3 linked regions of the Drosophila melanogaster genome follow. The protein of the gene in region 3 purifies or fractionates together with the protein of the main gene of each other region. This does not show direct contact. Each region holds a gene or a part of one and is shown on either strand. Other genes may lie near its edges.

Region 1 (4,666 bases), on a different chromosome or scaffold from region 3:
CGTCTCGAGGCGATAGCTGAAGCGGAGGCAGCCAACATTCCGGCAGCTGCAATGAGCAAGGATTCGCCCAGGAAGAAGGATAAACCCTCGGCGCAGCCGGAACCTCCAGCACCTGGACCTCCGGGCTGTACAGCTACTCCACTGCCGCGTGTGGAAAGCATTGATCTGATTGTAACACCCGATATCGATGAGTTCGTGCAGGATACCGTGCCGGATATATGCATAAATCAGGATAATTGCATCAAACAGCAGGTTACGGGCAGTTACTTGGCCTTGGTGCGCCGCAAAACCCTGACACATTTGAATGAAAAGTACCTGATTCGCCGGGCGGAGCAGAGAGGACTCTTTGGTAAGCCCGAAAAGGATGTCAAGGAGCGGTCGAGACCGAAGACTGTGAAGCTGCAGGAGCAGCAATCGGAGCCAGCGCCCCAGGACATGGGCTATGATCCGAGGGGTTCCGCCCACACTTCAAGTGCCCAGCAAATTGTGAGTAAACAAACTATGCCAAATTCGATACCTCTGACCGACCAAAACAGAGATACACTAGGGCTGTTAGACTTTACACTTTATTGTTAACAAAAAAAAAAACAGAATTTGAAGGTGGGCGATTGTTGTTAAAAAATAGGCGATTGGCGGTAGATACATATATAGGGGGTAATGTGACTGGGGACTGAGGTGTGGGGCTATGTACACTCGGGTCTTATGAGCTAATAATTAACATGTCGATACTGTCTGCGGATTGATCATCATCGATGGACACGCGATCGATGTCATCATTACCGAAGATCGAACATCATGCATTCAATTATCTCGATCGGCTTAATTATCTTGTATTTCGACAAGATCATTGCTATCAGCTCGAATTAGTGATTCTATACTTTTAGTTATTTTAATTTTTACTTGATAGTACATAGCTATGCACACACTTTCTATTATTGCAATGCCCTTACTTTCTATTTGCATTATCTTCATCTGTATTCATTCACATGGTTTTGTTTTTTTTTTTTTATTTGCATGTGCAATCTAGTACGCTTAATCCATGGAGGTATTTAAATTGCCGCATTGTTAGTTATAACATTAACATTTGTATTATTTGTTTTATTTGAACATTCACATCATTATCGTCTTAGTTGTACTGATAGGGATTGGTTATGATTATCGCGAAACAGGGATCAGATCACCTCCATCTCGTTGCACCCAGTATGGCTCTCTCATCACAATTTAATCTATATTCACATCCTATAATCTTCGGCCACCTCATCGCCATTAGAGGGTGAGGTATCGGGGTAATTAGCATGAGGTGGCAATCACTTTGCCCTGGCTTAGTCACAGGCTCCAAGGGATTAGGTCATGCTCGATACGCTTATCTCACTGGACCGCCGATCGATTGGAGGGTGAGATCGTCTAGCCATGTCAACTACTACTTCTTCCAAGCACTAGCCGACGAGGTCTTCGAGTAGTTCTGACTCTTCTGCTGCTGGTAGTTCTGCTTGATGTCCGACTTCTTGGTACTCGAGTAATTCGATCCCATGCCCGAATTGCTGCTGGTGCCATTGTAGCTGAAGCTGGACTTAAAGGTGGGGTTGCCAATGCTCTTGAACATCGGATGATTCTTGCCGGCGCCCACCGGCGGAGCCGACTGATTGTAGTAGCTCTTCGTGCTATTCTGCTGTCCCTTGTCGTTGGACATTTGACGAACGTAGGAGGAGAGTCCCAACCCCACAGCGCCCATGCCCATTCCGACGCCCACGCCAACGGTGCTCACGCCCACTCCGCCCATTCCCACGCCGTAGGACTGCTGCTTGTGGCTGGTGCTGAAGGTGGCCGCCTGATGGTCACTGGCCAGAGATCCGCTCTGTGTGTAGAACTGCTGCTGCACCTCCACTATGTAGCGATAGGCCTCCTCCATGCTCTTGGGATTCCGGCGCAGGATCATCGAGTGCGTCGGCTCGGGCAGATGATCTCGGAACACCTGCAGCGTGATGCGCTCTATGTCCTCGAGACTGTACAGGGTGTCATTGTGCGTGAGCTTTCTATTGATCAGTCTGTGCTTGAGTTTGGCCATCTTCTGGTAGTACAACTCTATGTTCGAGTCCAAGACAGCGCTGCGTATCTTGTGTATCAGCGAGTAGCTAGACTCCCGCTCCGCATAGTTGTACAGCAGTTGATCCTTGAGTTTTAGCCAGGACTCGGCCTTCAGGAGATGACCATTCCCGCCGCCATTGCCATTGCCATTGCCCACGGGAGCGCTCATTTGTCGCGTGAAGACCGCCTCCCTGGCGCGATCTGTGCACTTATTTTTGATATGTCCTATCAATTGAAACTTGTAGTAGTCGTCGAAACTATTTATGGCCGGCATAAGGGCCTCGATTTTGTGCAGGAACTGCGGCAGCTTGCCAGGATCACTGCCATCGAAGTTCTCCACTAGCTTCAGACGGCTAAGGACCTGATTGTATTTGTTCACGAACTCGGGATCCATTCTGGACTAATCTCCCGTAGGACTACTATTACTAGTTCCAAAGAGGGTGGCCTTCTATATCTTTACCGTTAACCGATCGTTGCGTTCGCGGCGACGTTTCGGGCGCGACTGCTTCAAAATTCGAAATCGCCGCCAAGCAGCGACTGCCGCGTCAATAATTGTTGTGTATGGAAAAACAGATTTTAGATTCTTACAAATGTATAAATTAACATTCATTAACATGAATTTTACTTGCAAGACCCTCTCCGCGATCCAATCCGACAATGGCAACGGATTCGCAATCGACACGAACCGTGGTCGCTCCAACCGAGCTGAGCACAACTGAACTGAATGAGCGGATCCGAACCCGAACCGAAATCAACTGGCAGAATAAAACAGAACGGAACACAGCGCCCGCCATTCATTGTGGTGGGAGTTGTGGTACCCGTTGTGTGTGGAGTGCAACGGGTATACTAGACCATCCAGGTGGTATGGTTCGCACAATGGGTAGTCACAGTGATATCAATCGAGGATTCTGGGAAAATAAGTAGGACATACGCATGCTTCCCTACTCCCTACTTCACTCTATGGGTCTTACATACAAGATATCTCCTTAATATTACTTTCTTCTTAGAAGTATGGGAGTTCTTATAGAGTTTCCTTGTTGCCTTCAAAAGGGAACGATATTTTTTGTAGCATACATTTGGGTGAACAATGCCGGAAGTCCTGATAATCGTATGGTAGTGAAGAACTCGATTTTTCTTTTCAGCTAAATTCCGCTTTAAGCTTACATTTAAAGTGAATCAAAACTAATGTGATTATATGTAGAAATTTATAAAGAGAAAAATCGCGACCTAAAGCGACCTAGTTGAACTGCTAAATAGTAACTTTAATAGATGACATAAAATAGATAGTGAATTTAATAGATTCAATGGGTATCTCATAGACGTGACACCAACTTCCCCCAAACGCTATTTGCTTACTGTTGTTGCGACGCTGAGTCATAGCCACAAAATCCCAGCACGGCGACACCCTGCGACCGATCGCGATAGATATATGTATGTATAGCCGGGCAGATAGAGATGGCGATAGTGCCAGCCGAACGGACACGGGCCACAAAAAGGCCGTAGCACGCACATAGTCGTTACTCGTACCCCTAATACAACATCAAACACAGCAGCGAATTTCATTAAAGAGCGCACACAAATCGCTTAAACGAAGCGTTAGATTCGCTTTTTGTTTGCCTCGTCGCTGCTCGCCGTGTTAATTGTCGGGGTTCAAATGGCTAACAAAAAATAAATAAATAAATAAATAAATAAGCAAATGGGGAAAGTCTACGCTAGGACAACATAATTTCAAACTGACAGACTGTGCGGCGCACACAAATATTACGCATACGCACCGATTGACAGCGAGAGATGTGATTTTTGCCATTATTCACATGCAAATTGTGGCACACAGCAAAATTGCATTCCAAGGTCCTTTCATAATTTTTTAGATTTTTTCGAAGAATCTAATTGTTGCTCGCTGCTTGCTGCACCCTGCACTCGATTGCTCATCGCCTGATCTGCACTCAATCGACCCCAGCAGCATCTAATTCAGCTCGATTGCCTCCAATCTTGACACGTGCACTGAGAGAAAATGAGTGTAATTAATAGGTTTCACTTGATATTCTAGCTTTATGTTTAATTTTCAACATTTGGAATGATAAAGAATGATAATTGTTATGAGATTCTAAGTTTTATTTTTGATAACATAGTGCTTAGCGATTTCTTCACTTTAGTACTAATACATAATTTTTACGTCTATGTAACCATTTTAAGGTCAAAAACTTCAACTTTCACAAATAAAAATTGTTTTTTTTTCATTTTTATTTAAAATTCAAACAATATTATTAATTATTAAAGTAAACTTTCTGCTATTGACGTTAACGGTACAAGATTAGAAAGTGATTTGAATAGAAGTGCAATGTAGTGGATCATTTCTCGCAGTGCACCGCTGCTCATACCAGCGCACACCTTTATTAGTGGCAGCCCACTCCTAACCCTCCACCACCATCACCCCCCCTCTCTTCCCCTCGAGGGGTCGCTTTTAAGGTCTGCTGCGCCGGCGTGCGCGGTTCGGCTAATTAGCAACAATTTCTGAGCGTTAGCGGCTTGTAAAACTGTTTAATAATAGCAAAAACTTGTCGGCGTGTAGTCATCGACG
Region 2 (3,292 bases), on a different chromosome or scaffold from region 3:
AAACTTCCAAGCAGCAAGTAGTGAAAGCGGAAGCACTTATTATTCTCCGTATTTTGCACCACTAAAAAAAAAGTGATGGACAAAACGCTGGAACGACAACAGCAATCAAAGCAATACATATAATTACTTCATTCAGAAACGCAACCGGAATCGGATTCAGGGCCACAAAGTTTTTCAGCCGGTGGCAAATAAAAATTCGGCATTCAATAAGCGGAGAAAAGCTGTCCGTTATCACTTTCGGATCTGAGTTATCCAATCCTATGTTTATTCGCCCGATTTTCTATAATTTTATTGACTCTTGCATAATTAAATATTTCTTTTGTAAGAGCGAAATTATTACAACCAAATTGTGTACAATATAGAAAAATATGTGTTGAATTTGTATCCAGTTCTTATAATAAGTACCTATATAGCAAGATTTTATTCTAATATGAATATGTTAATCTTATTATTGTTTTTTGTCTTTCGTATCCTTTTGCATGGGATGCTTTATGAAGGATAATAGCTAACCACTTTTGCAATTAACACAAATTCAACTCACTGGGCTTAAATAAATAAATAAATTTATTCCGTCCACTTTTTTTTTTATATACTACATTCTGCGTACAGTTCAAAGGTGCTACAGAACGTTTTGATTATTTCTTTGCTGCTAGGCAGCAAACAGTCTTGGTCCTTGGATCACTTAGCGCGCCTGGTTGAATGGGTTGTCTGGTGACTTGTTCCATTCCTTCATCAGAAGCTGCTTCCACTGGGACATGCGAAGGGAAGGATTCTCAGCCTTAATGCGGGGCAGATTGTTGGCTTCAAAGGTCTTGTAGGCGGCGCGCATTCGCTTCTCGGGATGCTTGTCCTCTTCGCTGTCATTTACACTAAAATTGCATGCAATGGAAGATAATTTAAATTGATAAGAAAGTTTCAGTAAGGGAACGCACCTGAGCACCACGATGGCCTCGTCAATGTTGGATGCCACATCCGTGTCGGCCATGGATCGGTTCAGATTCTCCTCGATATGGTTTTGGACCACCACTCGCGCGGCCATCGGCTTGTTGGCCTCGTTTATCGCCTCGATTACGCGCTGCTTCTTCTCCATCTCCTCGAGAATCATCTGGCGGTTGATCTTGGCCAGCGGCTGCTTTCGCTGCGTGTTAATGGATGACATTTCCTGGTCAAGCAGCGCTTTGGCCTCAGCCTTCCGTTTGGCCGCCTCCGCCCGCTTGCGCTCCTCCTCGTCCTTGCGCTGTTGTTTCTTGGCCAGATTCTTGTCGTCATCGCGCCACAGGCGATCCTCCGCCTCCTTGCTCTTCTTCTCCTGCGTGGCCTTCTTGGTGGCCTCCTTGCGCTCGCGGGCCTCCACCGCCTTCGAGTTGATTCCCATTTTCTTTGGCATTGTGTCCTTTATGAATGAATTCCGATCCTAAAATGTTGTCTATTTTTTATTGATTTTGAGCCAGTGTGACCAGGCTGCGGAAATACCAAAGAGTAACCAAAGAAAAAATACTAGAAAAATATATAGCTCAAATACAATTTAAATGTCTAATAAATGCATTTAAATTAAATAAATTAGGAAGTACATATTTATCTAATTATTGATTAAAGTTATAGAACTAATTATAAGTTATTTCATAACTAAAACTTAGTAAATTCAATAGAATACCTATTTTAGTGGCCGCACTTGTATGTAAACATTCTCAGTCTGGTCTCACTATAATCTAAGGCATTTGTTTTGGTTACTCCACATTGTTATTAACTACAAATAACAATCACATGGATATTCTGAAAGCTGAAATAGCGCGAAAGCGCAAGCTGCTGGAGCAAAGGCAGCTGGTGGACGAAAAGAAGAAGTACTTCAGACGCGGTGACCTGAACGCCAAGAACACAGAGGAAGTGCTGCAGAAGGTGGGCTACATAAAGCAGGAGTCCGTCGAGGCACAAGGACAAACGACCGAAGGCGCGTACAGTTTTGTGGCCGATGGCCAGAACATATTGCCGCGCACGGAGGTCATTCGGAGGCTAAGGGAACGCGGCGAACCCATCCTTATATTTGGCGAGACGGAGCCCGAGGCCTTTGACCGATTGCGACAATGCGAGATTTCGCAGCCAGAGGCAAATCGCGGTTTCCGCAACGATTTCCAGGAGGCCATGGAGCAGGTGGACGCCGCCTACCTGCAGGAGATGTTCGCCAACACACCCACCACCAAGGAAGACAAGAAGTCGGACTTCGCTGAGCTCGACGAGTCCGTGTCGTGGGAGAGCATACAGACAATGGCTGCAAATATGGGCCGCAACAAGGACTACGACATGGATGTGATCATCACGCTGCTCACCTTCCTGCTCAAGCTGTGGAACGACCAGATCGCCAACTACAGCAAGCACGAAAAGATGTCCACAAAGGTGAAAATGACCCGCGTCATTTACACGCAGACTAAGGAATACGTTAAGCCGCTGTTTCGCAAGTTAAAGCATCACACCCTGCCAGAGGACATTCTGGACAGTCTGCGAGACATCTGCAAGCACCTGCTCAACCGCAACTATATCACAGCAAGCGATGCCTACCTAGAAATGGCCATCGGAAACGCGCCTTGGCCCATTGGTGTCACTATGGTGGGTATCCACGCTCGTACGGGTCGCGAAAAGATTTTCTCCAAAAACGTAGCCCACGTAATGAACGATGAAACACAACGGAAGTACATCCAGGGTCTCAAACGACTGATGACCAAGTGCCAAGAGTACTTTCCCACCGATCCCTCCAAGTGCGTGGAGTACGTCAGCAAGAAGGATCGGGAATAAACTTGAGCTTTATGTTAGTCATTATTGTAATAACAATATCAAGCGTTTAACTATATGTATGTGTAGAGAGCAAGGGGATGTTCCGGGGGATTACATTTTCACTTCTTTCCCAGTTCAGCAGAGCGCTGTGACGACTTTTCCACGGCGTTTATTAAAGTAGACCTGAAAGCACGAAAGAAAGCAATAAAAAAACAGTGTAATGTACAACTTTATGGCTACCCACCTGAGGTTCCCCTTTTCCAGTTCATGAACGCCTACTATGGTGGCGCCACCGGGAGAACAGACTTCATCCCGCAGCACCGCCGGATGTTTTCCAGTGAGCAGCACCGTTTTGGCCGCTCCCAGAAGCGTCTGAGCCGCAAACTGAAGAGCCATCTGACGCGGAACGCCCTGTTTGACGCCGCCATCGGCCAGTGCCTCTATGATGGTGTAAACAAATGCCGGACCGCATCCAGCTACCCCGGTAACGGCGTCGATCATGGACTCGGGCACCTGTTGCGCCAGT
Region 3 (2,986 bases):
CATTGGCAAATGACAAACACAAAACTGTCTCGAAACTAAAACAATAAAAATAATTGCCTTTAATGTGCAAAAGCAAAAAATCAAGGGACACCGTTTTGGACGTGGAAGCGCGGATCTGTCTGTCGGGTGGGGTGCTAATAGATTATGCCGCAACGATTAGAGAGGCAATAAATACCACCTGGCCGGGATCCCATGCGTGTTTGGTTCGCGGGCACATATTCGGACTGCGATGACGACAGGTCCTCCTTGTGTCCTCCGCTGTCCTGGTGTTGACAATCTAAACGGTTCGGCCAAAAGGGTAATGGGCCTGGCCAAGGGTCACATTGGGGCACAGTTCGTCGGGGATGTACTCCAGATCACAAACAGGGATAGTTGGCCTATTCACAATGGTAATACTTAAATCAGTTTCGGAAGCATTTCCCCTATAAACACCTGCGACATTCCAACCCCTGAGAATAATTAGCCTGGTTAAGTGTCAAAAGGATGGCAGACCCCGCGACATGTGTTCCCAACATAATGATGATTATGACCACCCGTACTCAACTAACTACCCCGAAACTTGGATTTGTAGGAATTTTACTAGACGATTACAATTTGGAAGAAGTGTGGAGAGTGTGTGTGGCGCGTTACTCTGCTGATCTGCAAGGAAATGAACTCAATAAACGAAATGGTTAACACAACAAAAAGTGAAATCATTTAGTAGTTGGCTCCGCGCTGGATGCAGGGTCCGCTGGAGATGGATCCCGCCTCCAGGCTCGGACAGTTGACCTTCTGCAGCTCGGCAATGCGCTGCCATGTCATGTTGAAGTGGCGCGCGGAACGGGCATTGGAGAGTTTGGCAATGGGTCCCAGGGTGCGGTATCCATTGGTAATGAAGCGTATGAATCCCTTGGCCGTTAGGTCCAGCAGAGCGGTCTTCACCTGCGACTCCAGATCGCCACAGGCAAAGGGTCTATTTAGATGATTAGCATTACCATTACCATTAAGTATATTACTCGATCTGTCTTACTCCTTTTCCAGCATCTCCAGAATGTGCTCCTCGTGGATACCATTGCTGTACTTGGGATGATCCTGGAAGATGCGCACCATGTCCAAAATATATAGCGGCAAATTGATGTGGTAGCTGTTGAAAGGAAGCCGCAAGGTGGTGGGCTCACATTCCCTGATCGATCCTTCGTCACACATTTCGTTGCTTATAAAAATACGATTTCCTTGTTCGATGAATACTTGTTAGATGAATACTATTCCGAGAGACAGGCTAAGCGAAGCCTATGCTTTGACTGTAGGATGGGGGCAGGGCCCACTTGGTCATGCCCCAGACCCCCGGGTGCTAATGTCATCCAATTAAAGGTGTCATTAACGGTTTGTCCACCGCGAAGTCCACGAGGTTTGCTCTTCAATTACTGACCAAACAAACAACGAAGCAATAACGTGTTCTACTGTCTAGATTACCCGGTAATTTGTCTAACGCATTAATAGCCTATGTCCAAAACGATCCTCCCAATGCATTAGCAATGGGTCCCCGGGGTGGGTAAAAAAAAATCGAACTCAGTCCGTAGAGTAGAAGTTTGGTGGTTTGGTAATGCCAACCAATTCAAACCGATTCCAAAACGTACTGCTTTCTATATGTGTGCATTTCGAATCCATCTCGCTCGACCCTTTGATGGATATTAGACTGCCTCCAATTCTCCAGACATGTCACTCCGGCACGCAATCCATTATTTCCGGGTTCGGCTCTCAGTTGGGCCAAAACACCATAAACGAAACATCGGTGGCATGACAGTCAAAGGGTTAACTATGTATGGCCCAAACTTTTGCCAACAGATAATAAATTAGCGCATACATTATGAAACGCCATAAGGATGCGACTTCCGGTTGCCGGAGACGGCAAGGACTCCGTGACCCAAACTGCCAATTTACCACCCCGGCAAACAAACAGGTGACACTTTCTCAAACCGAAACGAAACGGAACGGGTTAAAGACGACACACGGAGTTCATTTACATGTCGATGGTTGTTGGATATGCATACGGTGGTCTTGGATGTCGTGAGTGGCATTGTCGGAAGGCAAGTAAAATTTTACGATTTTGAAGAATCATGCTTGATCAAAATAAAGTTGGTAACAACTTTTTGATGTCTTAATAATAGCGGATTAGGCATATTGCAACTTTCTGACGCTGCAGTTTTTGGAGCTCAGCTAAAAAGGAGCAGAAGCTATTCCTCTTAGGACTATTGAAATCGATTGGTACACGCTGGAAAAATCCTTTAAGTCTCAAAAAACCTCGGAAATAAAAAGTTCACATAGAGCAATTGAAGATATATTATGCCTAGAATATCTGATAAAATGATTTGGAGTGATAGGAATCTACAAGAACTATCAGTTTAAGGATCAAAAAAAGTATATCTATTGTATAATGGTTCAAATAAGATGGCTTCATTTTAATGTAATGACTAAAAATTGCATATTCATGATTTACATTTTACATTACCCCATGTTTTGCTATATAGTAAGATATCCTAAAGGATAACTTTCAGTGAGTGCAAGTAGGCTTCCACCACGCCTCTTTCAGACTATTACCGCTGTTATCGCTGTTATATTCGTCCACAAAATGCCGGTCGATAGCCAAGGGTCACTCTCATTGGTCAGCGCATGGACAATGGGTAAGCCTTACTATCTCCGCCCCAACACATAACAGTTGGTCAACTCCAAGGGCCAAGAAGTGATCGGCGAGCGGGGAGAGGTGGACTGGACTGGGCTGGGGGCATGTAATCTGGCTAACCAGTTATATGAAGTCCTTGTAACCGGGCAGCACAAATAAATGCCATGCGGCCCCGGCCAAGTGTCATGTATTTGACGAATAATTACCGTCAACATTGCGTGATTGGTTGAATCAGCCGGCGATGGAGGGTTGTGGCTGGCTTAGAATTAGCCCCAAAGCGGGTGTATGTGTGTGTGTGTGTGTGTACGTGGGGGAGTTTGTGTGACA

The links.
Region 1: the proteins of CG3687 (region 3) and Gagr purify together in Drosophila melanogaster (affinity purification with mass spectrometry, with the first as the bait; one large-scale study listed by BioGRID). This does not show direct contact.
Region 2: the proteins of CG3687 (region 3) and CG6013 purify together in Drosophila melanogaster (affinity purification with mass spectrometry, with the first as the bait; one large-scale study listed by BioGRID). This does not show direct contact.

The regions. Positions count from the first base shown.
Region 1 is NT_037436.4:16,392,763-16,397,428, reverse strand, and holds Gagr (Gag-related), read right to left. Parts: upstream 2,844-4,666; 5' UTR 2,480-2,843; coding exon 1,421-2,479; 3' UTR 549-1,420; downstream 1-548. Other genes in the region: CG44836 (uncharacterized protein), read left to right, coding at 1-486.
Region 2 is NT_033777.3:19,029,666-19,032,957, reverse strand, and holds CG6013 (uncharacterized protein), read right to left. Parts: upstream 1,456-3,292; 5' UTR 1,388-1,455; coding exon 933-1,387; intron 870-932; coding exon 683-869; 3' UTR 549-682; downstream 1-548. Other genes in the region: Prp18, read left to right, coding at 1,765-2,787; P5cr (pyrroline 5-carboyxlate reductase), read right to left, coding at 2,886-2,949, 3,011-3,292.
Region 3 is NT_033778.4:16,235,055-16,238,040, reverse strand, and holds CG3687 (uncharacterized protein), read right to left. Parts: upstream 1,327-2,986; 5' UTR 1,186-1,326; coding exon 1,010-1,185; intron 953-1,009; coding exon 697-952; 3' UTR 562-696; downstream 1-561.